3 linked regions of the Sus scrofa genome follow. The protein of the gene in region 1 interacts with the protein of each later gene in a pairwise test. Links are inferred from orthologs where the notes say so. Each region holds a gene or a part of one and is shown on either strand. Other genes may lie near its edges.

Evidence for each region.
Region 2: the proteins of LAMTOR5 (region 1) and GIT1 interact in a two-hybrid assay, tested with the Homo sapiens proteins (2 studies listed by BioGRID and IntAct). The link is inferred for Sus scrofa from reciprocal best matches to the Homo sapiens genes LAMTOR5 and GIT1.
Region 3: the proteins of LAMTOR5 (region 1) and EEF1A1 interact in a two-hybrid assay, tested with the Homo sapiens proteins (2 studies listed by BioGRID and IntAct). The link is inferred for Sus scrofa from reciprocal best matches to the Homo sapiens genes LAMTOR5 and EEF1A1.

The regions. Positions count from the first base shown.
Region 1 is NC_010446.5:109,718,280-109,728,460, forward strand, and holds LAMTOR5 (ragulator complex protein LAMTOR5), read left to right. Parts: upstream 1-4,384; 5' UTR 4,385-4,515; coding exon 4,516-4,721; intron 4,722-5,594; coding exon 5,595-5,656; intron 5,657-8,176; coding exon 8,177-8,294; intron 8,295-8,931; coding exon 8,932-8,992; 3' UTR 8,993-9,999; downstream 10,000-10,181. UniProt on the Homo sapiens protein: As part of the Ragulator complex it is involved in amino acid sensing and activation of mTORC1, a signaling complex promoting cell growth in response to growth factors, energy levels, and amino acids.
Region 2 is NC_010454.4:45,777,135-45,787,539, reverse strand, and holds the start of GIT1 (ARF GTPase-activating protein GIT1), read left to right. Parts: upstream 1-3,922; 5' UTR 3,923-4,043; coding exon 4,044-4,095; intron 4,096-9,763; coding exon 9,764-9,897; intron 9,898-10,328; coding exon 10,329-10,405. UniProt on the Homo sapiens protein: GTPase-activating protein for ADP ribosylation factor family members, including ARF1.
Region 3 is NC_010443.5:92,417,740-92,427,931, forward strand, and holds EEF1A1 (elongation factor 1-alpha 1), read left to right. Parts: upstream 1-4,211; 5' UTR 4,212-4,244; intron 4,245-4,927; 5' UTR 4,928-4,962; coding exon 4,963-5,106; intron 5,107-5,301; coding exon 5,302-5,481; intron 5,482-5,602; coding exon 5,603-5,899; intron 5,900-5,982; coding exon 5,983-6,133; intron 6,134-6,221; coding exon 6,222-6,478; intron 6,479-6,566; coding exon 6,567-6,801; intron 6,802-6,901; coding exon 6,902-7,026; 3' UTR 7,027-7,314; downstream 7,315-10,192. UniProt on the Homo sapiens protein: Translation elongation factor that catalyzes the GTP-dependent binding of aminoacyl-tRNA (aa-tRNA) to the A-site of ribosomes during the elongation phase of protein synthesis.

The sequences.
Region 1 (10,181 bases):
TCCGTCCTGGCACAGTGGTTAACAAATCCAACTAGGAACCATGAGGTTGCAGGTTCGATCCCTGCCCTTGCTCAGTGGGTTAACGATCCGGAGTTGCCGTGAGCTGTGGTGTAGTTTACAGACGCGGCTCGGATCCTGCGTTGCTGTGGCTCTGGTGTAGGCCGGGCAGCTACAGCTCTAATTCGACCCCTAGCCTGGGAACATCCATGTGCGGAGGGAGCGGCTCAAGAAATAGCAAAAAGACAAAAAAAAAAAAAAAAAAAAAGTCACATGCGTAGGCAGTGGCCAAGCCAGGATCCAATCCCACCTCTGGCGACTCCGAGGCCGCCCACCTAGCCTAGCATTCTCCTCACCAAGCTGTACTAGCTCAGGAGGCTCATGGGCCCCGTCCCTCACCCAGGGTCCCCCAGGCTGAGCAGGATTTTCTGTGGCTTTGGTGCCCCCTGGTGGCATGTGAGAGCCATTCCCCAGCCCAGCTCTGGGCTCATTCATGGCAGGCCTTCAACCCTGGGCGTTGCGTGACCTACAGGGCCAGCCCTGGCCCAGCAGAGCCCTCTGCACCCAGGGGAGGGAGAGCTTCCAGGAGAGTGTCACTTTTTAAATGGGAACCACCCCCCAGAGGATTCTGCTCCTGACAGGTCAGGGAAGAGGGCTTGGGGTCTCAGGTCTGGTTCACCTCACCTGGCTTTTCCTCTCCCCTTCCCCGGTCAGGACACGCAAGCATGTGCAATCTGTGCCAGACCTTCCTGGGGTTTCCATTTTCCAAGAGCTTGCTTACGGAGAGGCGAGGAAGGGGAGGATAAAGGCATTAAAACTGGAGTTCCCGTCATGGCGCAGCAGAAACGAATCCGACTAGGAAGCATGAGGTTGCAGGTTCGATCCCTGGACTCGCTCAGTGGGTTAAGGATCCGGTGTTGCCGTGAGCTGTGGTGTAGGTTGCAGATGCAGCTCGGATCTGGAGTTGCTGTGCCTGTGGTGTAGGCGGGTAGCAAGAGCTCCAATTAGACCCCTAGCCTGGGAACCTCCATGTGCTGTCGGTGTGGCCCTCAAAAGACAAAAAAAAAAAGTAGTTAAAGCTGAGGACTTCAAGCTCCTTTATGCAATACAGAGTCTTTTTCTCAAAAATACCACCAAGATTCATTAAATCTTAAGGGATTACTACTGGGTTCCACAGTGCTCAGGATGCAGAAATGGAGAAAACACTCTTTCCGTCTTGAAAAGTAAACATATGAAAATTACAATGCAGAGTCCCCTGGTGGCCTGGCAATTAAGGATCCAGCGTTATCACTGCAGCAGCTTGGGTCACTGCTGTGGCAAAGGTATGATCCCTGGCCTGGGAACATCAGCGTGCTGTGGGCATGACCAAGAATAAACACAAAAAAAGAAAAACTTGCAATGCAATGAGGCAATATGGGTACCTTCGGACTTTTCCTGTCACCTCAAAAGTGGTTATCTGCACTCAAAACTAAGCCTAAAGAATCCTCAAATATGCTACAAGCTGAAGAAAGCAGAAAACACTTAGGGGTCAGAGACCTACTCCAACTAACCATGGCCCCAGGCCCCAGCATTTCTCCAGCTTATATAAAACACCTCACTCGCTCTGCCCATCTGGGCAGAGGCAAAACAGCAGCAGGACACAGAAAGACCGGGTGGTGTGGAAGAGCCTGCCTTCCACCTCCAGAGCAACGAGGATGTCTGAGCCGGCCGTCCTCCTCTTCCTCTTTGTTCACTCTCCCTTCAGAGACCTGCCTTAACAGCACCAAAAGATCACCAGCTTTTCTGAGAATCCTATAATCACTGGTCTGGCTTTGAGATAATCAGAGGTAGCCTGAAGCTCCATTACCCAGTGCTGACCAGCAGCCACACACGGCTATTGAGCACTTGAAATATGGCTGGTCTGAAGGGAAACATGCTGTCTGTGTAAAATAAACTCCAGATTTTGAAGACTTAGTCTGCGGGGGGGGGGGGGGAGAATGCAAAAAACAAACAAACAAAACAACAACGACAACAACAACAAAAAAACCTCTGTATTTTTTAAATTGATTACATGGTGAAATGATAGTATTTTGGACACAGTATATGGATACATAAAATATTAAAATTAATTCCACCTGTTTAAGTTTTTTAGTGTGGCTACCAAGACATTTAAAATTACGTTTCTGGAGTTCCCATCGTGGCTCAGTGGTTAATGAATCTGACTAGGAACCATGAAGTTGCGGGTTCGATCCCTGGCCTTGCTCAGTGGGTTAAGGATCCGGCGTTGCCGTGACCTGTGGTGTAGGTTGCAGACGCGGCTTGGATCCCGAGTTGCTGTGGCTCTGGTGCAGGCCAGTGGCTATCGCTCCGATTCGACCCCTAGCCTGGGAACCTCCACATGCCGTGGGAGCAGCCCAAGAAATTGCAAAAAAAATAAATAAATAAAAAATAAATAAAATTACGTTTCTTACCAATGAGATCCTGCTGTGTAGCACTGGGAACTACATATACTCAAATGATGGAGCATGATAATGAGCGAAAATAGAATGTCTACATGTATGTGTAACTGGGTCACCATGCTGTACAGTAGAAAAAAAATTGTATGGTGAAATAACTATTAAAATAATAATAAATAAATAAACAAACAAAATTACGTTTCTATTGGACAGCGCTGCCTCGAAGGTTAAAAAAAGCCAGAGCTGAGAAGCCCTAGACCAGCAGAGCTTTACACCACATGGACCACAAGGGGGCGGTACTGCAGTACCCAGCTGCCTCGGTACTGCAGGACAAGTGGGCGGGCTCCCGACGTTTTTTAATGCTATCTTTTAAGAGTGGTTTTAAACTGCTTTTTCTAAAATTTAAATGTCGCATATTATAGTAACCCCTAAGTTAATATAAATCATTTCTCTAGGCCAGGAGTCTAAAACTCCTGAATTACGACATTCAAGGCTGGAATTTTAAGGAAGCTGAAAGTTTCTCACCATCACAGCTAGGGAATAAAGAGGGACTCTTGAATTCAAGGCAAGAGGAACCGGGAAGCTGTGCCCCAGAACAGAAGTGAAAGCTGAGTAAAGCTGGAAAGTGAATAAAAGCTGGAGGAGAGAGGGCTGGAGAAAAGGGAGGTCGAGGTGTGCTGCCAGGAGGATTACAGGGAGCGGGTAGAGGCTTATGGGGGGATGGGTGAGCCTCTGGGCACACTCCCATTCTCATCAAAATGCTACCAATCTGAGTGTAAACTGGAACCACCTTTCTGGGGGGTAACTTGTAAGTGTATATTAAAAGACTTTAAAACCTTGACCCAATAATTCCATTCTTGTAACTTACTATAAGAAAAAATTTAAACTGCACAAATATTTGGCCATAAGAATATTCATCCAGCATTTGTCACAGCCAAAACCCAAACATAACAACGACAACAACAAAACTATAAGCAACCTAACTGTACATTAATAAGGGGTTGGTTAAGCTATAATATGTAATATTTTCTAAGTATTACAAATGCCGTAAATGAACTTTATGTCAGAAAGACATTTTTGCTAAATTTTGTGAAAAAGATAAGCTACAGAATTGTTTGTACAATATGTGTGTCAACTTAGCTTTAAAAAAGAAAAAACAATAACACAAAGTATACATTTGCAAAGACAACCAACCGGCGGAAAGAATATTCTCCAAGGCCTTATCAGTCATCTCCGGACAAAGACAATGGGTGGGCTTTCTTTCCTTATTTTTACAACTGCTTTTTTTTTTAATTTTTGTCTTTATGTCTTTTCTAGGGCCGCTCCTGCGGCATATGGAGGTTCCCAGGCTAGGGGTCGAATCGGAGCTGTAGTAGCCCGCCTACGCCAGAGCCACCACAGCAACGTGGGATCGAGCCGGGTCTGCGACCTACACCACAGCTCACCGCAACGCCGGATCTTTAACCCACTAAGCAAGCCAGGGATCGAACATACAACCTCATGGTTCCTAGTCGGATTCGTTAGCCACTGAGCCACGACCAGAACTCCCTATAACTGCTTTTGTAATTAACTTTTTTTAAAGGTTACTTTTTAAGTGGTCCTACCCAGTCTTTATTACAATGACACCTTCTTTCTCAAACGTTCCCGAATCCTCTCCAAAGAGGAAGAACCAACGTCTTCGAAAAATCGCAACACTTGCCCCCCTACCCAGCTTGGGGTTTTAATTTTGTTCCGCCTCATCCTCTAGTCCCTTGTCCTTCCTCTCTTTGTCCCTCCAAGCCTGGGGAACCCTTCATCGGAATCCTGTGTCTCTCTTGTCTGTCCCTGCCCTACCACCTGGATGGGACCCCGCGGGGCCGGCCGGATTATTGTAAAACTTCAACCAGACCTGGCCCGACTTCTCGGAGTCGGTGGAATCGAAATCCAAAGGTCTGTACGGCGGAGACAAAGGGACAGGCCAGGAAGCTGGCTCCAAGGGAAGACTACAGACCTCCCTCCCGGGGGTACATCCCGCGCGGTCCCCTCGCGGGTCGCACCCCAGGCAGCAGAACCCCGCCCAGCTCGCGGCGGCAGAGGGCGCGTAATGACATCATCCCGGAGAAAACGCCGAGACTGCGCCACGAAGTTTGTCCCTTTGGAGGCGCCGTCCAGGTCCGCGTCCTGCTCGCATCATGTGACTGACCAAGCGGAGCCGGAGACCAGTTTCCTAGGAGAAGACCCACCGTGGGTGGTGCGCCCGGCGGACGGCGGCGGGATGGAAGCAACCTTGGAGCAGCACTTGGAGGACACGTAAGTAATGTGGCCACGTCGGCCTGTCCTGGGTTCGCGGCGGGCCTGTCCTTGAGCGCAACAGAAGGCGCGAGCTGTGACTGCCCGCTGGGCTTCTTGGGGACGTTCTCTCCCCGGGCCGCCGATGGGAGTGGAGGGTAACCCGGAATTAAATCCCGCCGGTGCTCCGCACACTCCCTCCGGAACAAGTGTCCCGGGTCCGAGCCCAAATCCCGCCTGTCGTGTAGAAATTGTTTGGGCGGGGCCGTTCTTTAGGAGTTTTAGGAACCGAGTTCATTTGGGGGAAGGAGGTACCTACCACCTGTATCTTCAGTGTAAACGTAAACACACACGCGTACCTCCTTCTGGTGTAACCAGTTATTTGGTGCTCAAGAAGATGAAAGACATCCTTTAAATTTTTCGAACAGATAGTGTCTACGTAAAATCCAAAATTAGAAAAGTTTAAGACGGCGTACAGGGAGACACCTCCCTTGCATCAGGGCCGCTCAGCTTCCCACTTCCTCTCCATGGGGCAACCAGTTTTAGTTAGCTTTTCAGCAGTTCTTTCAAGTGAGAGAGTAGGCTAAAATACATATTTTTAACGAGGGCAACAAAATCCTAGCTATTGCAACGTTTGTAGCCCTCCAAAGCTTAGCAGTACCTGGCAGTCTTTTCTCTCATCAGAGAGAAATTAGTTTAACCATCATTAAAGTTAGCTTATTATGATTTAATGTAATTTTTCTTGGAGTAGGGATGAGGGATAAAGAAAAAAGACTAACACTGATTTAAAGCACTTAACAGCAGTGCTGGGTACATAGAAAGCCTGTGTGTGTTATATTTAAATCCATTTTTCCTACATCATTTGCTTCTTTCTTCCTGTGTCCCTGGAATTAGAATGAAGAATCCATCCATTGTTGGAGTCCTGTGCACAGATTCACAAGGACTCAATCTGGGATGTAAGTATCTGACAACAGCCCTTCCAGGGATTGCACAGCACTTGATGTTGACTGGGAGCCTAGGGTGCTTTCTCTAGTTTGCATTTCCTGCCACCCTGCCACTTTTGGGGGACTTTTCTGTAAATAGAGATCATCTCCCAATAGCAAAATTAGAAAACTGAATGTTTTCAGTTGATACTTATAAAGGTGGAGATGTCCCTTGCAGTTCTAGCACTACATAGTTGTTTCTTCTAGAATAGTATTTGAATCATTCTAAACAGAGTCTAGAAAGGACTTCAGATAATGACAGCAGTTACCATTTATTGAATGTATTTTGGGACTGCTAAATTTCCCCAGTAACCCTGCCAGATGGATGGTGTTATTTTTTAGTTCAACTTCACTGAACAGTAAGTAGGCAGTAAAAATGAGGGGTGCAAGCTCAGACACACCTAGGTTCAACCCCCAGCCCTCCCCTGTACTACTAGTGTGAACCTGGACCAAAAAGAACCTTTCCGAATTTCAGTTTCTGTAGTGGGTTGTTGTTTGATAATAATTATTATTATGGAATTGCACTTACTGAGCTCTATGTGCCAGGCACCATTATAAGCACTTTCCACATATCAAGTCATTTAATCCTTGTAACAATCCTATGAGGTAGATAAAGAAATTGAGGCACAGAGGTTGAGTAACTGGACCAGGGTCATACAACTAGTAAGTGATTGAGCTAGGATTTGAGTCTGGCCCCAAAGCCTCTACATCACAATAATATAGGATCATATAAAATATGTAAAACACTCAGCACAGAACCCAGACATGATGCTCAACAGATAGTAACAAATTGCAGATGAGGAAAGAAATCCAGAAAGGTAAACAATGGGAGGCTTCAGCTAATTAATGTCAGAACTAGTAAACCCAGGACACCCTGCTCACTACTCTTCTGTTCTGCAAGATTTTTTTAAAGCTCTGAATTTTTGCAGGGAGGGTAATTGAAAGAATTAGTCTGTGTAACTCAGGTTTTATACACAAATCAGTTAGTTGGAAGAAAAGGGAGATTTTTTTTTTTTTTTTTTTGAGGTGCTTGCCAGGTTTACAGATGGAAAGGTTGAGATTCAAGTATGGAAATCTAAAACTAAATTAATTTCTTTAAGAAACTTTCAAGGTCCCACAGATGAACCTACCTACAAAACAGAAACAGACTCACAGACATAAAGAACAGACTTGTGGTTGCCAAGGGGGAGGAGGGAGGGAGTGGGATGGACTGGGAGTTTGGGGTTAGTAGATGCAAACTATTACATGTAGAATGGAGAAACCATGAGGTCCTACTGTATACCCCAGGGAACTATATCCAATCTCTTAGGATAGACCATGATGGAAGATAATATAAGAAAAGAAATGTGTGTGTGTGCGGTCACTTTGCTGTACAGCAGAAATTGGCATGACATTGTAAATCAATTACTGTTTAATAAAAATATATATAAATTTATTTTTTTATTGCTCAAATGAATTTATCACATCTGTAGTTGTATAATGATCATAACAATCCAATTTCACAGGATTTCCATCCCATAAAAAATATATATATATAAATTTTATATACATTCTAAAAAAGAAGCTTTTAAGGCCCAAAAGACTACATTGTGTCTGTCCAGTTAATGTTTTATAAACAACAGTAACTTCATCAACTCTGCATAGTAGCATGTACATTACCTGACCTGGTTTCAAGTACATGGGCTTGTGTTGCCTCTATATACAGAAATATACGGTAAACTTAGTGATTACTTTTTGTACCTCACACCTAAGTTATTATCTACAGGCTAAAACAGACATTAGTAAAAAGCTAATTCTGTTCCTATTTGAAAACAACCAGCTTGTTCTAATGGACATAATTGCTTATAGAATAGTTATGTATGCTGTTAAGGAGATCCTACAGCTAAACTCTTGAGCCAAGATCTTTATATTCTTTGAAGTTGAACTCAGTAAAAGGAAATTAGATTTCCCATGAGGAATTAATTAGTTGGGATTTTTGGGGGAGGGCCTCACCCACAGCATGCAAAGTTCCCAGGCCAGGGATCAAACCCATGCCACAGCTATGCCAGCACCATAGCAGTGACAATGCTAGATCCTTAACCCACTGAGCTATGAGGGAACTCCAGGAATTAATTAGTTTCAACGTCTCTTGTCCTTACTGACTGCTTTTTGTCAGTCTCACCTCTGAATTTCGTCTTGGTTTCAGTTTGCTTCCAGACTGACTTGAATTATAGCTTCCTTACATGCTTGAGAAGGTGTTTGAAGATGGTGATGGAAATGACTTGGAGAACTGAGTGTTACGGCTTTATTGACTTAAAAGCTGTTGTCTGGCTTCCTCACTGAGATAACCAGCTGAGTCTCAGGGCAGAATCATTTCATGTCCGTACAGTACTAACAGTAGCTAAGAGCCCAGGAGCTGACCCTTCTTTTTGTGAATAACTGAGTTTAGTTCTACTATAGCTCTGTACTCATTTTTGGACAGTCAGGCAACATGATACCATATCTGTCTTCTAGGCCGAGGGACCCTGTCTGATGAGCATGCTGGGGTGATATCTGTCCTAGCCCAGCAAGCAGCTAAGCTAACCTCAGACCCCACCGATATTCCTGTCGTGTGTCTAGAATCAGATAACGGGTGAGTAGATGTCAGCAGATCCCTTCCTTTCCTTTTGATTCAGAAAAAGCCCTGGGGAACTTGACTGGGGCTTGCCCTGTGTTCATTTAAAGTACTTGGAGGATGGTTCCGCCCTTTGGACCATAGGAGCTGTTGCATTGATCTCTGAAGCTCTTGTGCTTTCAGACCACAGTGGTACATGTAAATGAAGAGTAAGAGCTGTCACGAACTATCAGTAAAAGAAAGCAGAGGAAGACTAAACCAAGAACAGAAACGGTGTGTGTAGTAATAGAAATATAAAGATGTTTTGAGTGAGGGTCCTCTGAACAATAGTAAATGAAAAAAGCAGAATACAAAACTATGCTCATTATGATCACAGTTTTGTAAAATGAGAAGATATGTATGCTATACACCAGATTAAAAAAGGAAGATACTAATAATGGTTGTCTTTGATACGATTATAAAATTAATTTCATTTTCGTATTTTATACTTTTCTGTATTTCCCAAATGCTCTGTTGTGTTTATATATTGCTTTTATACATAGAAAAATGATAAGTACTATTTTTTTAGTTGTATCCTAAACCAAACAGCATCTTTAATCTTACACTGACTCCCACCTGTAGCCTTTTACTGAATATCTTCCACTTTGCCTTTCAGGAACATCATGATCCAGAAGCACGATGGCATCACAGTGGCCGTGCATAAAATGGCCTCTTGACACCCTGTGTCCATTCTCCTGCAGCCTGTCACAGGGCCTCATTCATACTTACCTTACAGAACTATTCAAGTTCCAGTAGTTAGGCTGTTCGTATAATGTGCATTGGGTGCTTTTCTATTAATTTTAGAGTAAGCTGCTTTTTGCCATTCCATGGATTGACTTATCAAAATACTGGTTAGGAAAGTATCATGTTTTGAAGCAGCAGGTTTAGGTCACTTTATATATAGAATCTTGTTATGTTTAATAAACCTGGTTAGAGGAAAGCTTGGATCTTTTCTGGATTCTTTAAATTCTTATCAAATGTTTATTTTTCAATTACCAAATTGTAATCTTTAAAAGGTAACTGCTCCAAACTCTTCCCTTGTGGAAGCTCCTGAAATACAGAGGATCTCACAGATGCATCCGTGGATATGTAAAACAAGTCAAACATACTCCTACCCCACAATAAAAAAAATAATAGCATGGGGTTCCTCTTGTGGCTCAGTGGGTTACAAACCCGACTAGTATCCTTGAGGACGCAGGTTCGATCCCTGGCATCGCTCAGTGGGTTAAGGATCCAGCATTGCTGGAAGCTGTGGCGTAGGTTGCAGATGCATCTTGGATCTAGTGTGGCTGTGGCTGTGGTGTTGGCTGGCAGCTATAGTTCTGATTCCACCCCTAGCCTAGAACTTCCATATGCCGCAGGTGCGGCCCTAGAAAGCAAAAAAAAAAAAAAAACAAAAAAAAGCAAAAACCAAAAAACACTAGAGCAGATACATTAGGTACTTACCGTATGCCAGGAATATATTTAATTCTCATTAACAACCCTATATGGGTTATCAGCAGAGAGATGGAAGCAACTCACATCTACGGATGGGTGGATATATAAACGAAATATGGTATATACATACCATGGTATAATAGCCTTAAAAAAGGAACGGAATTCTGACGCATGCTACAACACAGAGGACTCTGGAGGACATTATGATGAGTGAAATAAGCCAGTCACAAAAAAAAAAAAAAAAAAACAAATTCTCTATGATTCCACCTACCTGAGGTACCTAGAGCAGTCAAATTCATATAGAAAGTAGAATGGTGGTTGCCAGGGATAAGAAATGGGGAATTACTGTATAATTCATAGAGTTTCAGTTTACAAGATGAAAAGAGTCCTAGAGGTGGATGGTGGTGATTGTTGTAATAACAAATGAAT
Region 2 (10,405 bases), on another chromosome or scaffold:
ACTCGCGCCTCGCCTCCCACACCCCCGCACACAAAGACGCCGCTCGGTGGAGGGAACAGGCGCCCGCAGCGGGGGCGCACGGGGCGCGGGCCCCAGAGACGCCGTCGCCGCAGGGACGCGCGCCCGCGGCCCCCGGCGCCCCGCAGCTGCATAGCCCGGCCCTCTGCCCGAGCGGCCGGCGAGGGATGCGGGGATGCGGGGGAGACAGGAGGGGGACGCGGGTGCTCCGGGCGAGCTGGTTATAACTTGGCCCCGCAGCATCATGGGGCTTGTAGTCCGCCGCGTGGAACCAGGGTGGCGAGTGGCGGAAGAGGGTTCCGCACTGACGCTCCTTTGATCTGCTGAGAGGATGGTGAGGCATTCAGGCCTGGCCGGAGCGGAGACAGTGCCCTGACGCCAGATGGATGGGGGCGCAACCCCCATCCGCTGGCATTTTTGCCTTTTGCTGGGGAAGGAGGAGGGGGTTACAGGCCTTGCTCAAGCATTAGGGAGTGTGGAAAGGTGTGGCCTTCGGTATTGAGTTTGGGTCCCGATGGAACGTGAGCAGGGATCCACATTCCAAGAAAAGAGTGATTGACAGGACTCCCGAGAAGGGTGCGGGGTGTTAGTGCCATGGGTCATTGCACCAATCAGGAATCTGGCACCTAAAATACTACATAGGAGTCTTCCTTGCCTTTTATTATATATATATATATTTTTTTATATTTCCTGCCTTTTGAAATTAAACTCCATCTACCACATTTGACATTAGAAAGAGGATGTCCGTTAAAGCCAGGAGGACAGACTCTTCTTCCCCCATACTGTTCTCTGCAAGGACCCGAGTGGGGCTGGGCATAGACAGCAGCAGGTGGCAGTTCCCACCTCCTCCCATGTCCCCTCAGGAGAGAAAGTGACTGACTCCAGAGCTTGTCTTCTTCCTGGATAACCTCAGGGCAGAGAAGTCTTTCCAGAAAGGTGCCTGCAGAGGCTATGGTAAAAGTGAAATGGCCCTCTGGGACTGCCTATTGCAAGAACTGGAAGGACCTAGTAGCTTGGCCCAGTTCCTGGAGGGAGGAGGGACTGGGAGTCTGAGAGAACCTGAGTTTGAAATCCTCCCTACCAAACGCCTGACCTTAAGCAAATTGCTTAAATTTTCTGGTTTCTCATACTGCTCACCTCTAAAATATGACTCTAAATACTACCTCCTGGAGTGAGCTAAGGATAGTGACTGCCCCTGATATTGGCACATCCCTTCCCCAACCAGGCCGACTAGGACAGGTGGCAGGACCAGGCGCAGTGCCTTCCTGAGCCCACCTTAGAACAAGACAGGCATAAGGGATTCCATACCAGCCCTACATAGAACAATCCAAGAAGCGTTTGTGTGGGAGGCGCTAGCAAAAGCTTGCAAACTCTCAAAGCCTCTGTCAGGTTTCTTTGTGTGGTCTTCTCTCCTTCCTACTCCACACCCTGCAGTGCCAGCCCTGGGCGGGAAAGGATGAGGGAGGAGTGGACTGCCTCGCCCCTTTCTTCAGCCCGGGAGGAGCCAGTTGCCATCTCCAGCAGCCGGGGACCGCTGCCCAGCTCCACCACGAGGGGTCAGCAGAGTGTCGTGGCTGCAGCCTGAGTTGGGGAGGAGGCTGGAGCTGGGAAGGGACGACTAGGAGTGGCCCGGAGAATGCCTGTACTTTTTCCCCGTTAAATTGTTTTTAGAACCTTGTGATTTCTCTTTTAACTGCCTTGTTTCCTGAAGAGGCGACGTCGCCAAAGGGAGATCCTGCTGAAATCCTTTTACCCCTAGCCCCAGGCCTAGAAGCTCGGCTGTAGCGAGGCTGGGGGCTTCAGGAACAAAGTTTGGAGAGTGGATCCGTGCTTGGGCCACTCCCAGGTAGTCCCAGGGCCAACCAGGAGATGGGGCTAGTGGGGTTGAAGGAACAGGGTGACTCATGCCTCTTCCCCTGGAAAGGCTTGGAGCTCTAGGAGGAAGGGACCTCAGCCTGGACTGGGGGCCCTATCCTCCCGGCAGCCAGTTTCTCTTTTTGGTCCCGCAGCCCTGGACTCTAAACCCAGGTCGCTTTTCCTCGCCTGCGCGCTCTCTAGCTGCCACGTGCTCGAGACGCGCCCACACAGCAGAGAAACAAAGACAGTCGAGCTATGGGGCTGCCAGCAGCCGCCTCGACATTTAATAAATGAAATTCCATAGCTGGGGGTCGATCGGGGGTGAACGGGCGGCCACCGCTCAAGGGCTGTGCGGTGTGTGTGTGTGTGTGTGTGTGTGTGTGTGTGTATACGCGCGCGCGTGCCTCCTGGCCGTTCCTCCCATCGCCAGGGGTGGGACCACCAACTCGGCGGACGGACTCCTGAGGGTGGGGGGTGCAGCACCGGGCGGCAGGTGGTGCCCCCCCCCCCCCACCGCGAGGTATCTTTGCTCCCAGAAGCCCTGCAAGCTGAACGGCTGGCTACGGGGGGGGAGGGGAAGACTGCAAGGAGATTTTTTTAAGGTGCGATTATAAATATACCCCGTGGATCGCGATTTCAAACAAACTTGTCAATCTGGGCTGCAGAGAAAGGCGATGGAGGCAGCTTTGCATGTATTTCGGGTGGTGTGACTCATGAGCATTACTTGTCTCCCCCAGGGAAGCAGCCTGCCCACCCACAAGTCACTGCTGCTCTGGCACCGCTGGTTTAAAATCAACCAACTCCTGCACCCCTGCCCAAGGACTCGCCTCCTACCCCCACCCCTTGTTACTAAGCAGGACTCCCCGCCTGCCACTGGGGAACCCTCCTTTAATCGTGTCACCACTTCATCAGGACCCATTGGGCCTGGGCCTTAGCACCCCTGCCCTCTCTCCACAAACCCAGCGCTTTAGCCTTTCTTGCTGCAAGATGGGGGTTGGGTGCACGTGGGGCACACGTGTATGGGGGAGCATGCTCAGTGCTGGGGTGCACCCACGTGTGGCCTGCTGCCTCCTCTCCCTGTCCCCCATCCTCCAACGAGTCTCTGTGTGAAGTCCAGGAGGAAAAACCACCGCAAAAAAGGCCCCTGTATGTTATATGCTTGTGCCCTGGACACGCAGACTTCCCGTGGCTCAGAAACACCAATGATGTATGCAAGACCGATGCCAAGTGGGTATTACTGTACACAGGCACAGTGGTCACTGCTCAGGAGGTCTTCAAAAACAGTCCACACTCTTTCATTTCTGGATGGAAGCCGGGAGGAGGGATAGATGTTTATTCAGCTCGGAGGCAGGGGTATACACTGCATGACCTCTGGCACTTGGGCGTCCATATTGTTGGCGGTGTGCGTAGTCAACAAGAGTGTGACCACACAAACACCTGGACACACAGATGTGAACACACAGCGGACCAGGACGCACAACTCACCCCAAACAGAGACAGGAACGTTACCCCGAACCACAGCCTCTGGATGAGGAGGGGGGCCTGGGCCTTCAGCTCCTTACTCTCTTCTTTGATCCCCAGGGGTCACTGTCCCTGGGCTCAAGCTCCCCGGGCCAGCTTCCGTCTCAGTGAAGGGGATGGGGCTGTGGGGCTAGCTCGCACAGCCTCAGGGACAGGGGCGCGCCGGAGCCCAGTGCAGGGCGCAGGCGACGCTGCAGCGCGGGCCCGGCGGCGGCGGCGGCGGCCGCGGCCCCTTTAAACGCCCCCACCCCCTCCCGCCCGCGCTCCCGGCTTCCTTTCTCCGGGAGGCGCGGCCGGCAGGGCCCGGCGGTGGGGCGGGTGTGCAGGCTGCCCCTCCCCCGGTGGGCCGGGCCTGCGCCGCTTCCTGCAGGAGCGGCCGAGAGCCGCGCAGGGGGCGGAGAGAGCGAGCGGCGAGCGGCGGCGGGGCGGCGCGGGGCGGCGCGGGGCGGAGGGCGCCCGAGGGCGAGCGGGCGGGCGGGCACGGCGGGTTCCGGGCCAGCCCCGGGGGCGGACGGTTGGCCGGGCGCGCGGAGCCTAGCCGGGGCCTTGCCGGAGCCGGGCCGGGCAGCAGGGGCCGCCGCCGCCCGGGCCCGCCGCCCGCGCCCCCCACGCTGGCCCAGAGGGCTGCGGCCGCGTCGCCGCTGAGGATGTCCCGGAAGGGGCCGCGAGCGGAGGTGTGTGCGGACTGCAGCGCCCCGGGTAAGCGGGGCCGGGCCGGGGGCGGGACCGCGCACCGAGGCGCCGCCGGGCGGGCGCCGGGGCCTGGCGGGAGCGCCGTGCGGGGCCGGAGGGCGGGGCGGGGCTGGGGGCTGCGGCCTCCGGCCTCGGCCCCCGCCCCGGCCGCTGCCGAGCCTCGTCCTTGGCGGGAGGGCCGTCCTGGGGGCCCCAGTTTCCTCGTGTCCGTGGACAAGCGAGAAAGGACATTCCCGGCGCCGCCTCCCACCCCTCAGTCAGAGGGAGGCGGGCAGCTGGCTGCACCCCCCGCTTCCATCTCATATCCAAACGGAAGCGCCAGCCTGGGGTGGCAGGAGGGCTGTGGCGAGGCCGGTCGGGGTTTAGGAGGTGGGGGCGAGTGAGGTTTTGTGTCATCTCAGTGCCACCCCCGCGTCTTGCACCTGCTGCTCGCATGGTCTGCACGCCCGCTGGGGTGGCGGAGGGCAAGGGGCAGAGAGCTGGGCAGATGGGCTAGGGGGGGTCTGGATACTGTTTCCTCTGGAGCATTTGACGGGGTGGCTACTCCTAGGACTCCTTGCCCCTGGCTCCCAAGGCTGGGGCCCTTTGCAGGGCCTGGTGTTCAGGGCCACTTGAGCCTGGGCATCTTCCCCTGAGGCGTCCCCAGGCCTGATGACTGGAAACGAGATTCAGCTTCCCCTGTGCTCCAGTAAGGCCTGCTTGGAAGGTGGGCTTGGCATTGCCCCAACCTGAGCACAGACCCCTTGCCATCTCCTAGGCCAGTCTGGTCAGAAATGGGTGGGGAGCAGTGCCAAGGGGTGCCTAGATTCCTGAGATTCACCTGGCTTCCTGGCCTGCCTTCTGGCTGTAGTCGCCGTGGTTTTTCTCTTATTCCCAGCAGAGTCAGGTCCAGGTGAAACCCCTTGACCTGCTGAGGGAGTGAGAAGCAGTGACCTGGAGAGGATGCTTCCTTCTGATGTGGGAGGACGCTGCCGGTGATGGGGCTCAGCATCTGGCCCGGGGAAGGAAGCCCTGGCCCTTGACCGGCCTCTCTTTTTATAAAAGGAGCTATCTTGCTGGGAGACCGGGTGGACTCAGGGAGGGGGGACTATGGGCGCAATTAAGCATGAGTGTGGGGTGTTGTTTTGTGTGCCCATAACTTCCAGCCACCCTTTGGAGAGGTCCAGGACCCCCAACAGGTTGAGAGCAACAGACGCTCTGGTGGTTCTGATGTCTCCAAGCTAGAGTGTTTGGGAACTGTGGGTGCCTGGCAGAGGCATGGTAGTCTGGGTAGTCATGACCCTGAGGCCTCCTCTCAGGGCATGTTAGGGTCCAGAGTGCCCCCAAGAAGCTATGGGGGAGGAGGTGGGTCATCCGACCTTACCCCTGATGAGTTAGAAACTACTATCTCCTTCCCCCAAATGCAGGCAGGTCTGGGGATGGAAGGGCTAAGAGGAGAACTTGTTTTCTCAGTGCCTGTCCCAGGCCGCCCTTTTGCATCTCTGCTGGACACACGTCACAGTGGGGGTGGGAAGGGCAAGTAAGAGTGGGAGGGGGTGCTTAGTAGATATCTTATCAGGGGAGCCTGGATTTTGGTGTTGCCTTTGTTTCCAGCTTACTCTGACTCATGGCAAGACTTTTCCCCCTCAGGGTCTCAGGTTCCTCAACTCTGAGGTAAAGAAGTTGGAATAGAAATGGTTTTTAAGATCTATCCAGAAGTTCCTGCTATGGCTCAGTGGTTAACAGATCCGACTAGGAATCACAAGGTTGCGGGTTCAATCCCTGCCCTCGCCAAGTGGGTTAAGGATCCAGCCGCTCAGATCTGGCGTTGCTATGGCTCTGGCGTAGGCTGGTGGCTACAGTTCCGATTAGACCCCTAGCCTTGGAACCTCCATATGCTGTGGGTGAGGCCCTAGAAAAAGACCAAAAAAAAAAAAAACTATCCTATCTCCAAAGTCTGTGGTCCTGATTCTGGACCTGGGGGACACAGGCAGCATTATCAAGGCAGTTGTCCTTTCTCCATTGCTTTTGACCATTTGGCTGAAGTCTCTAGATGCTCAGCGGGCATAGGGAGGAGTGGTATGTATCTGGTGTGTTGGGGTGCCCAACCCAGCTCGTACCCCAAGTCCTCATCCCACAGAGACCTTTTGTGCTCCTGGTACTACCTTTTCCCCTGATCCAGAATACAGGTCAGGAAGAGGCAGGTGGTATGGTGGGCAGGGTGCCATCAAAGTCTTCTTCATCACCCAACCCCTGCACCTAGCATGCTGTCTGGTAGGCATTCCCTAAGGGTCTGGATGCTTCTCAGGACCTCAGCTGACTTTTTAGGGGCACCTGCACCCTATGATGCATGGGGTGGCATTCTCAGTCTGGGACCTATAGCAGCTTAGGTAAGAGGCTTGAGGGAAACCAACAGTCTGGAGCCCAGGCCCAGAGCCACCTCCTTGGAATATGCTTCCTACCCAAAGTCATAAGCTTCTCACTGTAATAGGAGCCCTGCAATCTGCCCTAGGAGTGGGGTTGTGGCCCTTTTGTGGTTGGTTAATTTGCAGGGTCATGGAGCTGAAAAGTAAGGTGCAGCCTGACCCCAAAGGGCTCTGTCCTTTCTCTCCTCCCAGGCCTGGACACACAGGGAACAGCTGTGAGGCAGCTGGGCATGGCATGGCTGGTCTGGCAGCTGGTGCCACCTCGTCAGGCACCATCTGTGTCCCTTCCTACCTTGGGAATCCAGGAGAGGGACAGGGGTCAGGGAACCCTGGAGAATGTGTGTTCTCCCTTCCTGCCCCTCCCCTCCCCCTGCCACACAGTCCTGGCTCAGCTCTCAAGGGCCTGCTCCTCGTGTCTGCCATGGGCCTCCATCCAGGCTTCCCACTTTGGTAGCCTCAGGCACAGGCTGTGAAGACCCCAAGATACCCACCCTACAAGCAGCTTGAGTGAGCAAGGCTGGTCACTAGCTAGAAGCATTTGGGAACCAGCAGGCTCATTTCTCTCTTCATGATATAGATGGTGGGTGGGCTGACAGGTGGGCTTTCTTCTTTGATTGAAGTATTACTGAAGTACATCAAAGTGCCTGTCTCTTGCTGTTTAGCCTGATGAGTTTTTACCTGTGGATATACCTGTGTAACCACGACTCTGATTGAGAGAGTTTCCATCACTTTACAGTTTATTGTGTTTTCTCCCAGTCAGCGCCCTCCAAAGGCAACCACCATTCTGACCTTTATCCCAATGGATTACTCTTGCCTGTTTTCAAGATGGCAGGTTCTCCCTCTTCTCTGGTGAGGATCTGGTCCCTAGATCAGGAGAGGCTGGCTGCTGGCCCTAGAGCCGCTAAAGACTTTGGGTGGGGACGTGACTTCACCTTAGCAGAGGCCTCCATGGGTTTAGCGCTGGTTAACATGATCCCAGGATGCCTCCTGCCACGTGCCCACACATACCAGACTCCCACCCTGAGGCAGAAGCCCAGGGGGAAGGTTGGCAGGACACTGAGGAGGTGACCAGCTCCCCTAACCCTTAACATCCCCTGCTCCTCCTGCCCCGAGTTTGGGGCAAGAGTCCCTTAACCTTAAACCACAATCGCCATTTGACTTTCAGAAACCCTTCATAGCCCTTCGGCTTAGAAACTGGCCTAGGTGGGGCTTTGGGCTCCGGCCTGGGTAGGCCCAGGCCCCTCGGGCACAGGGAGTAGGTAGGGAGTTAGGGTGGGATTCCCATCTGTGTCATCCAGAACTGAGCTGGCATCCGTGTGCCCCAGACCGGGTGAGTGTCCCCTGCCCATCCGTCCTATTTCAGGTCTCGGTGGAAGACAGGACCTCTCCCCCAGGCTGGGAGAGTGCCAAGCAGAGCCTTAGACCACTCTCCCCAGATCCTGGTTTCTGGGTCACTGTCACATTCAGGGACTTACCTTGTCTGGTCTGGCCCCGGATATCTGGCCAGCCTTTCCGGGCCTAGCCTCTCCGAGCAGGCCATAGGTCTGGGATGGAGGCCTTAGGGCGGCCCATTTATGATCCTGGCCTGGGCGGCTCCCTACTGACAGGAAACCCCACCATTTCAACAAGAGGAATTCAGGCTGCGTCATTTCCAGCTTCCTGCCTGGGCCGCTGCCACCGGAGATGGCTGGCAGGCAGACCCCGGCCCAGTGGTGTTTGGGAGTGGGGGAAGGAGCTTTCCATGCCTGGGGGTGCCTCCCAGTTTGGGTAAAGCCAACACTAAAGTTTGCTCTAGGGCGCCCCCTCTTGGCAGAGATGATGGGACCCTTCCCCTGGGGCCCCTAGAATCAGCCCCTGAGGAAGGTGTTTGGGGTCACCTCCTACATTGCTCTGCCCTGTTTTGGAGGGTTCCCCACAGAAGCCCAGACCCAAGAGCTGAGCCCCTCTTTCACTTCCTGTTTCCATTCCATGGAGGGGACACTCGCCATGGCAGTGTCCTGACTCAGTTTCCTCACAGTTCTTTGGGGAGCTTTCATGTAAATCCTTTTGGAAGGGGACTGAGCATTGCCTTCTGGTTGGAGAGGCTCTCGTTACCCCAAGCCTATGCCCTCCCCTGGGGGGCCCCTCTGGACAACATGAGCAGTAGGGGCAAGGCTCAGAGCCAGCTCCCCCCACCCCCACCCCCAGGACAGGGCTCCCTGAGCTGGGCGGGGGCCTGGGCAGAGCAGTGTCCTGGGAGAGAGGCTCCCTGCCCCCACTCCAGCGCGCACAATGGCTGCTTTCTCCCCCGTGACCTTTCCGCAGCCTGAGCTGCATGTAGCTGTCTCCTCCCCTCTCCCAAGGGGCCCTGGATGGGTGGCATCTCCCTTACCCTTGAGAAGCAGCTCAGGAGCTCCCACCCCACTGTGGCCCCCTTCTCCCCAGGGGGTGGAGAGTGGCTCCCGGGCCCTCGACCCCTTGGGGCTGCCCCCCTTCGGGGCTGCAACGGCAACTGGTGTGGATGTGGCAGGGTCTCCAGCCTCTAAATGCCTGGACAATCCCGCTCAGTAGCTGTATGACCTCGAATAAGCACCCCAACCTCTCTGGGACAGTTTCCTCACTGGTAAAGCAGGGGTAGCATTTCCCACCTTGCCTGACAATTGTCACAGGCACCATAGTTAGGGCACCCAGCTTGTACACACTGGGTGCTCCTTTGCTGTCTCCGTCCCCCTTAAGAGGGGCTCCAGCTCACCCCATCAGTGGTAGTGGCAGGAGGCTGGGTTGTGAAAAGGCCTCTTGCCTGCCAGGATGAGGGCAGAGGTAGGAGCCCCAGGAGGGGTGTGATGGGTCAGGCAGGTGGGCCAGTGCTTCCAAAAGAGGCCCGGGTGCAGGAGAGATGTGGCACTGCCGGGGGCAGTGTGGCATGTAGCATGGGGGACGCAACCCCAGGGAATGCCTGGCTCCCTGGGGAAGGGCTGTGGGACTGGTAGCAGTGGCTGCAGGACAGGAAGCTGTGCCCACTGAATAGGCCCTGGGGACCACACTTCCCCAGAGGGGCAGAGACGGATAGGAAAGGGCTTGGCTCTATCAGTGGCGCTGGCTGCCAGCCCCTGGGGAGTCCCTCCCACCGCCCGAGCTCAGCTTCCTCATCAAGGCCCCGGCCACCAGGGCCTTAGGGGACTGAGTGAGCGAATATGCACCAAGCCCTAAGCGGAGCACGGACCCACCGCAGGCATGCAGGCGGGCTCAGCAGCGTCTGGCTGTGGCTGACCCTCGCCCCCGCCCCGCAGACCCTGGCTGGGCCTCCATCAGCAGGGGTGTGCTGGTGTGTGACGAGTGCTGCAGCGTGCACCGGAGCCTGGGACGCCACATCTCCATCGTCAAGCACCTTCGCCACAGCGCCTGGCCCCCCACACTGCTGCAGGTACGGCTGCGCTGGGCGGTTCGTCCTTCCCCGCAGAGTGTGCTGAGCATGGGCACATCTCCCCCGCACCCACATCCACGACTGTCGGGATGCTGCAGCTTCCAGGGGGCAGCACCTACCTGGGGCAGAGCCTAACTCTGACCCTTCCCCCCTGTGCGCGCGGCCCTCACCCAGAGAGGCGGCTTCCAGGGCGGAGTCACACCCACCTGGGCTGTCATCCCAGCTCTGCCACCTACTAGCTTGACCATGCGGTGTTGCACCTAACCTCTCAGCCTTGGTGCTCACCGGAGCTTCTCAGCAGGACCCACATCCTTGGGTGACAGTGCAGGGGTGCCAGGCACACAGTAGGCCCATTGGTACCGTGTACAGCCCAGTGCTCAGCATCCCCCAGCACGCAGTGGGCATTCTCACTTGGCACCTCTTCCCCACAGATGGTGCACACACTCGCCAGCAACGGAGCCAACTCCATCTGGGAGCACTCCCTGCTGGACCCCGCGCAGGTGCAGAG
Region 3 (10,192 bases), on another chromosome or scaffold:
GAGGCAAGATGAAAATGCAGCAAGCCACAGCAAAATGTAATTACTTAAAGCTGCTCTAAATTAGGTCCAAAGCAGAGTGATTAGCCAATACTGAAAAGATGCTTGGTGAACACAATTACTACAGAAATATCAAAGAACTATAACTGGTTTCCCTTTTACTAAGTACATTTATTTAGTTACTGCCAAGATCCTTTTTCCCTCCTTTTAGGGAAAACAATGTATTTTAACAGCTTGCTACTCTAAATGGTATAAGCAACTTTAAAGAAAATCTTAAGCAAAACACAACCTTAGAGTGCGACCCCAAAACACATTAACAAGCCTCAACAAAGTTACTGTTACCGGTTTAACATCTAAAGTTAGAAAAAGGCATACTGTAACTGCTGTAACATCGTGGGGAAAAAATGCGCTAGAATTATACTCAAAACAGAGAGTCTGGGGGAAAGGTATCCTTTTTTTTTAAAGAACAAGATTTGCTTCGTCTTTCAGAGGCCACGCCACGGTGACGGAAACCGTCCGGCACCCCAAGCCACGTGGGGTTCTCGGCCTCCTCCCAGGCGTTTCCTTCCGCAGTCAGAGGACCGAAGCGAGTGACCTCCAGGAGGGGGCGGGAGGGGACTGGCAACCCCGGTCCCAGGGAGCGCAGCCCGCACGTCCCCGAAGGCGCCGCAGACCCGCGGATGCCGGAGCGCGCGGGCGGCTGGAGGCGCGGGCGCGGGACAGCCTGTGGGGCCCCGCCCTGACCCCGCCGCCTTGGTCGTCCTGCCTAGCTGCTAGGGTGCGCCCCCAGCCGCGCGGGCTTCCCCGGGACGCGCGTTCCCGCCTCCCTGAGAGCATAAATGTGAACCCTGCGTGGAGAAAAGGCTTTCGGACAGCGTCTAACCAAACTCACAGTATGGCTCGAGTTCCCTCCAGTCCCCCCAAATCTCAGCCATTTTCGGAGCGTGAGCAAGACCACCCCAGTCCTTGGTGCCCAGCAGGTTATGTACATAAATCAAGAACTAATGCAGAATTTTGCTGTTCCATAGGTGCTATTGGAAAAGGATTCTCTATAAAGTATTTATGAAGTGTACATGCTCTTATCTGAAGGCGCAGGGCCTTGGGAACAACTTTTAATGAACTGGGCGTATTTTACAGAAATCATTTTTCTCACTTTTTCTAAACTAAAATTATACTCGATGCTTTTCTTTCTTACCAAAGTCCATTTTCATCGTGACTTTTCTTAGATTAGATGTTAACTACAACTCTGGATTCTATGTAAAACTTTGAAATATTCAACTTTTGTATTTAGTCTTTGCTTCCTTCCCTTCTGTCACTAAATAACTATTTTTTTACCGTTTTCAAAATTTTCCCAGTCCTAGGGTATTATGTCCAACAATGTACAAACCTAAACTATTGGAGGTATATGGAAAGAAAGCATGGTAACCAAACGGAAAATTTTAAATCTAGTGTGGCACTCTGATCTTAATCTGAAATAGCACTATGCAGTTAATATAACTGTGGTAAACAAAATATGGCTAATTGTGGGAATCTAATTCCAAAGAGACTAGCCATTAATGTTTCCAAGGCAATAAATACAAACAAAGGTATTTGAATTATTCTATTGCTAGTGATTAGTTTTCACTATTTTTTTTTTTTTTTTTTTTTTTTTGGTCTTTTTAGGGCCACACCCATGGCATGTGGAGGTTCCCAGGCTAGGGGTCCAATCAGAGCTGCAGCTGCTGGCCTGCACCACAGCCACACAGCCACACAGCCACAGCAACGCCAGATCTGAGCCCCACCTGCAACCTACACCACAGCTCATGGCAATGCCATATCCATAACCCACTGAGCGAGGCCGGGGATTGGACCTGCTTGCTCAGACTCGTTTCCGCTGAGCCATGATGGGAACTCTATTCTCACATCTTTATCTTATTACAAACATGGACTAGCATATCAAGATAATTTCATCCCACATATATATGATTGGGTAAGTTCACTAGGAAAATGAATTGTGAAAAAAAGAATTTGTGAAAAAAAAGCTAGAAATATAGGCATTATTGAAAAGGCTTTCATTGCTAGAAAAAGATTAGTTATATATGTTCCTAGAGAAACTTTACATGGCTTAGTTTCTTTCATGAAAACGATCTCAAAGTTCAAACAAGGATACGAACTTTTTTTTTTTTTTTTTTTTTTTGGCCTCACTTGCTGGCCAAAAAAAAGACCAGGGATCAAATCCCATCCCTGCAGCTGCAACCTACACCACAGCTGTGGCAACAGGAAGGTCCTTAACCCACTTTGCCACAGCAGGAACTCTTAAACCTGAATACAAACTCTTAAACCTGAATTTTTTTTTTTTTTTAGAAATTTACATCTTGGGAGTTCCCGTCGTGGCGCAGTGGTCAACGAATCTGACTAGGAACCATGAGGTTGCGGGTTCGATCCCTACCCTTGGTCAGTGGGTTAAGGATCCGCTGTTGCCATGAGCTGTGGTGTAGGTCGCAGGTGCCGCTCGGATCCCGCGTTGCTGTGGCTCTGGCGTAGGCCGGCGGCTACAGCTCCGATTAGACGCCTAGCCTGGGAACCTCCCATATGCCGCGGGAGCGGCCCAAGAAATGGCAAAAAGACAAAAAAAAAAAAAAAAGAAAAAAAAAGAAATTTACATCTACAAAGAATGGTAAAAGATACAGGAAAACTATTTCAGAAAACCTTTTAAAAAGAAAATAAGCTATTGGATGGTGAAAAGAAACTAAAAGGACTGGAAAAACTAGATTCTACAATGGAATAGAAAGTAAGGAAGCACCATACAAATTTGCTTTTAACTACTTCCCATTGCTCTATATATTAGTTTCCCTTTTCCAATTAGATTGTGGGTTTCTTCCCCCAAAGGAAGTATTTCTTTTGCATATGCTTCGGAGCCACTCTTAGCTCTGGCCACATAGTAGGTTCTCAAATATTTGTTGATAGATTGGCTCAAAAAGTTGCAGTAGTGCTCTACACGTGGAAGAGACGATCTAGTAATTAGCTCATTTAAAATAAAGGTTCCTCTTTCTTCAGGAATATTTTTGAATATCTGCCTGATTGCCAACCAAAAAGGCCTCATCTTGTCTTGCCCTGGATTTATGCCTAAAATGCAGTCACAATGGATAGGACGACAAAAGATGAAGCCGTTTATTCAAATGGGATAGGCCATTTTTGAGAAACAGTGATTTCACAGCAAACGTTGGAGTAGTAAATTGGGTGGATAAGCTTCCTGGCGCTGTAGATCTTAGTCTCTACTTGAGATCGTGTATAAGCACTGAACTCAAAAAATTCTTTTTAGGTTTTTCATGCTTGCAACCAAGAGTATACACTGGAAAAAAAATGTTAATAGGAGGGTAGACACACACTCAGGGTCTTAAACGTAATAAAATTAGGATTAGAAGTAAAGAAAACTGTAGTACTTAAGTCTATTCTAAACTCAAAAACTGGACGTCTGGAGTACCACGTGGTGTGTAGAACGAACTTAGATAAAAGAACTGAATGGAAAAAGCCAAGAGGTCAGCGCAGGAGCCTGTTCGCCAGGCTGTTGGTCAGCAAACTGAGCCACTCGCGGATTCTCGGCCCTGAAGACCGCCCCGAGGCCCCTGCCGCCGCGGTTCCCCGGCCTTTTACGCCTCCCTCTCCAGCCGGAAGGGGCGCGGACGGCAAGGGCGGTGGAGAAGCCCCGGCAGAGGAAGCGGCTCCAGGGGTTAGTCCTTAACCTGCGAGACCGCAAGACTGAGGACCGGTGGGGTACTGCCGGGTAAGGGCTCCCATCTCGGTCCAACTTTGCAGTTAAGCTACGACCGGTTCAGGGAAGATTCTGGACGCCTCCCCGCCGCCCCACCCCCCAGCTGTGCGGAGAGTAATTCATACAAAAGGAGGACTCTCCTCAGCCAGGGAAATCCCAGGGACCGTCGATAAACTCCCACTAAACCTAGAACCGAGTGAGCGCTCGACCCCGCCTCCCACCCACCAGCAGTCGTCATCCTCCTGGTTGAGAGGAGCATGCGCCGGGCGCCGTGTGCTCGTCAGTGGGCTGAACGCACATCGCCCACGGTCCCCGAAGATGGGGGGAGGGGACGGCGGTGGAACCGGTGCCGGGTGGAGGTGGCGCGGGGTAAACTGGGAAAGTGGTGTCGTGTGCTGGCTCCGCCCTTTTCCCCGAGGGTGGGGGAGGACCATATATAAGCGCCGTGGTCCCCGCGAACGTTCTTTTTCGCAACGGGTTTGCCGCCAGGACACAGGTGAGTACGGGTGTGGCCTCCGTCCGCATGGCCTCCGCCGGTGGCCACGGCCTTAGCGTGCCTCCCGGCCCCCCGCGCGTAGAGGGCTCTGCGCCCTGGTCCTGATTCCGAGCTGCGGGCGGGGGGAGGTGGAGAACTCGAGGCCCTCCGCTCTCGCGGTTCCCTACCGCGTGCCCGGTGGCGGCCTGCTGGGGCGCCGTGGCCGCCGCGTGCGATCCGCGCCTTCGCGCCCGCCCCGTCTGTCTTCGCGCTCGAGTTCGGCCGGCAGCCGCGTGTTACTGCCAGGGCGGCCCAGCCGAGGCCGCCCAAGGTGGCCTCCGTGCCCGGCGGTCCCGGGGCAGACGGCCGCGGCGGGGCGGGGCGGGCGGTCGGAGACCCAGCGCCCCGCCCGGGCGGGCTGCGAGCGCGGAAAGATGGCCGCTCCCGGTCTCAAGATGGAGGACGCGGACGGCGGGCGGCGCACAAAGGGCCGGGCGGTGCTGCCCGCGCCGCTTCCCGGGACTCGCGGCCCGGGTGGGGGAGGGGCTGGGCGCCGGGGCGGCCCCGTTCGCTGGGTGTAGGCCGGGCAGGGCCCGCAGGGCGCCGGTGCTAATGCTCCCTGGAGTTTGCCCTTGGCTGTTGGGGTTGTGCCTGAGTCTCCGGTCGTCGGGACAGTAGTTTAAAGAAGGTTTTTGTCGTCTTAGGTGTCGTGAAAGCCATCGCTAAAAGCTAAGCAAAAATGGGAAAGGAGAAGACTCACATCAACATCGTCGTCATCGGACACGTCGATTCGGGCAAGTCCACCACTACTGGCCATCTGATCTACAAATGCGGTGGGATCGACAAAAGAACCATCGAAAAGTTCGAAAAAGAGGCTGCGGAGGTCGGTAAAGTAACGTCAGCAAATTAAGTGGTAGTTCTCTAAAACTAGTGTATATCTGACTTGAACTAGTACATTGCAAAGTTTGCTAAGTGGCTTAACTCCAGCCAAGTTTAGGAGATGGAAGTGAAACCTAGCATTGCTTCCAAGTGGGACTAAGGAGTTTAGTTACCGAGTAACCCTTCTTAATCCCTGCAGATGGGAAAGGGCTCCTTCAAGTATGCCTGGGTCTTGGACAAACTAAAGGCTGAACGTGAGCGTGGTATTACCATTGACATCTCCCTGTGGAAATTCGAGACCAGCAAGTACTACGTGACCATCATTGATGCTCCAGGACACAGAGACTTTATTAAGAACATGATTACAGGCACTTCCCAGGTTTGTAGGATTAAGAACTCCTGAGAGTAACATTTTGAGTTATCTATAAATTGGCGAAACCATGGATCTGTCCTTTTTGGAGAGGTTTTCACAGGGTGTGGCCTTTTTTTCTTTTTTAAAGGCTGACTGTGCTGTCCTGATTGTTGCTGCTGGTGTTGGTGAATTCGAAGCAGGTATTTCCAAGAACGGGCAGACCCGTGAGCATGCTCTTCTGGCCTACACCCTGGGTGTGAAACAGCTCATTGTTGGCGTTAACAAAATGGATTCCACTGAGCCACCCTACAGCCAGAAGAGATATGAAGAGATTGTAAAGGAAGTCAGCACCTACATTAAGAAAATTGGCTACAACCCTGATACAGTAGCATTTGTGCCAATTTCTGGCTGGAATGGTGACAACATGCTGGAGCCAAGTGCTAATGTAAGTGGTTTTGATGAGTTCTCAAAACTTAAGTCTGGGAAGGGATAAGTTTGAAAACACTAATTGATGATCTTGTGTTTTAGATGCCTTGGTTCAAGGGATGGAAAGTCACCCGTAAAGATGGCAATGCCAGTGGAACCACACTGCTTGAAGCTCTGGATTGCATTCTACCACCAACTCGTCCAACTGACAAGCCCTTGCGCCTGCCCCTCCAGGACGTCTACAAAATTGGTGGTAAGTTGAACGTTACACTCAGCTGGTATGGGTTGCAGTGATGTTTGTCTTCATACGAGATAATTATGCTGTGCTGTGAATACTTCAGGTATTGGTACAGTCCCTGTGGGCCGAGTGGAGACCGGTGTTCTCAAACCTGGCATGGTGGTCACCTTTGCTCCAGTCAATGTTACAACTGAAGTCAAGTCTGTTGAAATGCACCATGAAGCTTTGAGTGAAGCCCTTCCTGGGGACAACGTGGGCTTTAATGTCAAAAACGTGTCTGTCAAAGACGTTCGTCGTGGCAATGTGGCTGGTGACAGCAAAAATGACCCACCTATGGAAGCAGCTGGCTTTACAGCTCAGGTAACACTTCAGTGACAGGTTTTTAAACTGCCAGAACCTTAACTGTCTAAATGTCTAAAATGTGCTAAATGCAAATTTTCTCCCTAAGGTGATTATCCTGAACCATCCTGGCCAGATCAGTGCTGGTTACGCACCTGTGCTGGATTGCCACACAGCTCACATTGCCTGCAAGTTTGCTGAACTGAAGGAGAAGATTGATCGTCGTTCTGGGAAAAAGCTGGAAGATGGCCCCAAGTTCTTGAAATCTGGTGATGCTGCCATTGTCGATATGGTTCCTGGCAAGCCCATGTGTGTTGAGAGCTTCTCTGACTATCCTCCTCTGGGTAAGAGTGCCTTTTTAGTGTAATTAAGCTTCAGTAAAAATGGAAAAGCAGTTATGTAGAGAAAGTGTTTCTCATGGTGATTTAATTTTTGTTTTAATAGGCCGATTTGCTGTTCGTGACATGAGACAGACAGTTGCTGTGGGTGTCATCAAAGCTGTGGACAAGAAGGCAGCTGGAGCTGGCAAGGTCACCAAGTCTGCTCAGAAAGCTCAGAAGGCTAAATGAATATTATCCCCAATACCTGCCACCCCAGTCTTAATCAGTGGTGGAAGAACGGTCTCAGAACTGTTTGTCTCAATTGGCCATTTAAGTTTAATAGTAAAAGACTGGTTAATGATAACAATGCATCGTAAAACCTTCAGAAGGAAAGGAGAATGTTTTGTGGACCATTTGTTTTGTGTGTGGCAGTTTTTAAGTTATTAGTTTTTAAAATCAGTACTTTTTAATGGAAACAACTTGACCAAAAATCTGTCACAGAATTTTGAGACCCATTAAAAAAAGTTTAATGAGAAACTTGTGTGTTCTTTTGGTCAACAGAGTAACTTCCTATGAAGGTAAAGGCTGGTCATAACCTATTTCTAGTGTTAAGATTTGTGGATGTTTTTTTCTGGGTATGAGCTTCATGTTTCTCAAGACTGTCTACAGAGAACTCAAATCTGCTTAATTACAGAGCCAAGTGTTGGCACAACACTTAATAGGTTAGGATAGATAAGCAAACAATGACTTTATGTAAGCTAGGTTGTAAGAACCTCAAATTGTGAAAGGTTATGTTGCATAAGACTATATAGGTTCATAAATTGAGTAAGTCAAAAGTTGTTTCCCAGTCATGGGGAATGTAGAATCACATTGACAGTACTGGAGTAATGTGGGGTTTCAATAGTATTGAGCTCTTACCCTGCTTGGGGCATCAAAGAGTCTAGAAAAAGTAAAATGCTGGAAGTGCACTTCCTGTTACTTAAGTAGAAATTCTGAATAGAGGTTTTTATCTAATGAACAAGGTTGGTGGAAGAGATTGCCATACTGAAGATTAAAGAAGCATTTTGAGGAACTATGGTGATAGAAGGGCCCTTTGCAGTTAAGTGTATGGTAGGGTGAAGAAGTTTGGAAACGTGTAAGTTAACAGCTGTTTACAACACTGCTTGCTGGAAGGTCAGAATCTGAAAATGGCTCAAAAAGGGTCATGGTTAATATCCTTGGGTGTTGACAACAATTGAGGGACCTGAGTTGGGGTAGTTAAGTCTGAGTACACTTGTGTATTTGATGAAGCAGTCTATAATTCTGTGATATTGGCTTGGCTTTTCAGATTAAAGGGAAATTTACCCAGCTGGAATTTTGGTGAAATCACCAGATGTATTCTATATGGCTTTTTTTGCTAATTTTGCTTAAGTGTCCAATTAAGTATGTAGATGAGAACTTTGCAGTTGGAAGATGTATTTTCCTTTATCACTTAACCAAACATCCCTGAGGCCAGCTCCACTTTCTTAGCCTTTGGTTTGAAAAGACTGAAGATGGAGACAAAATGGCGTTAAGAATTGCTGGCTGTCAAGTGGAGCTGATGGAACAGCAAATCTGACAAAGCTGGAGGATTTTAAATCCAACCCCCGCCCTTAAACTACAGAAAGTAACTCAGTTCTGAAGAGGAGCAGGGCCACACACAGTTGGTCTACATTGTCTATTATACCAGATTGTCTGATTTGAGCACCACCTACTGGTCACTACAAAGTAGGTTAAAGTAACTTCTCTAGGTTCAGAATGAAGTGTCTTTGGTTTTTGGGGGGGGGGCTCCTGAGGTTTTTTACACAAAGTTGCCTTTCCTTTTATTTGAATGATAAAATTTGCTTTATAAAAAACCGCTTGATCTTAAACTATATTTTAGGTTGGCTAGCTGTTGAAATACAGTGTATAGGATGTATTAGAGATGTTGAAACTTGTACCCAGGAATTCTGGTGCGGTTTCAAGATAGGAAAATGGGAAAGGCATTCTGGATTAAGAGTTTTTAACACAGGTTGCCAGTAGTAATACATTTCTTATTTTTAAACTACTGTGGTTACCAGAATAGGCAATCTTGAATAAATTCGGGCCAGATCTTGACAGTTACTTAATCCCATTAACAGAATTTACCTCCCATATCTGGTGCATGAGCAGCTTAGCTGTCTGGACCAAGAGGGAGATAGATAAAATTTACTGTGAATTAATCAACTCATTCCCAAGAATCAATTCAGGTGAATAATTCCTTTGAAACTACCACAGACTCTACACCCCCCCCCCCCCGCCCCCCAGCCTATGCACCTGGCCAGGGGTAGAACCCATGCCAGGGCAATGACAAGGCCAGATCCTTAACTGTTCAGCCACCAGGGAATTCCCAAAAGGCATTAACTAGATACTGATTTAAATAATCCCCTCGACTCTCAAAACTACTGAAGTCACCTCAGTTTTTTGGATTTTTGTTTTAAATGTAATTTTTAAGGCAGAATAAATTGACCATACTACAAATTTTAGGAAGTGCCAAAGTATGAGGTTTGATGTAGCAGCAAGATAAGCACCTTAGAGGTAATTTTTTGTAGGTGGAGTTTTCAAGAGTGTGGCAATTAGACTGAAGGCTTGAGTTGTGATATGTAGAGCTTGATTTTTGGTAATTTGCAAAAAGGTATAAACAAAAAAATGTCAGGGAGGGACTATGAGTTTTATTTTTGTTAAAATGTATTTACCTTGGTTAACTTTGTGCTGAGCTAAGCACTGAGCTCATGCCAGAACAAGCTGTTCCTGGTTGTCTATTCAGTTCCTGAAATTGGCCACTGAAAGGTGATAACTAATTTCTTAGGTATCAAGATAACCTTTCATGTTTTTGATTGATAGGTGCTTACTAGTTCCTTTATCATGAAATGTTGCAGGAGTTAGTAGTTGAAGTTCTATGACCTGTGTGGTTTTTAATATGAAAATCTTTTTACTGTAAGATTTAGCTGTTTTTTTTTCTAATTACAGAAGAAATACATGCTTATTACAAAAGATCAAGAAAATGAAGTAAAGCATAGTTACATTTGCAGTATAATACATACTGTATACAATTAATGTTGCTGCATGTTGGCTCTAGTTTTCACTTGTATTCTGTTGGTAACTGGTGTACACTCTTCATTTTCCTTTTGATTTTCAATTGGGTTCCCCTCTCCATTTTTTGATAGTCTTGTGCTGTGCCTGAGTTTCTTTCAATTTTTTTCTTTTTTAATTTTAAGTGATTTTTATTTTTTCCATTATGGATGGTTTACAGTGTTCTGTCAGTTTTTTACTGTACAGCAAGGTGACCTGGTCACACATATGCATATTCTTTTTCTCATTATCCTCCATCATAAGTGATGGATGGATGCCTTGTGTCTTGAAGGAAGTGAAGTTTTCA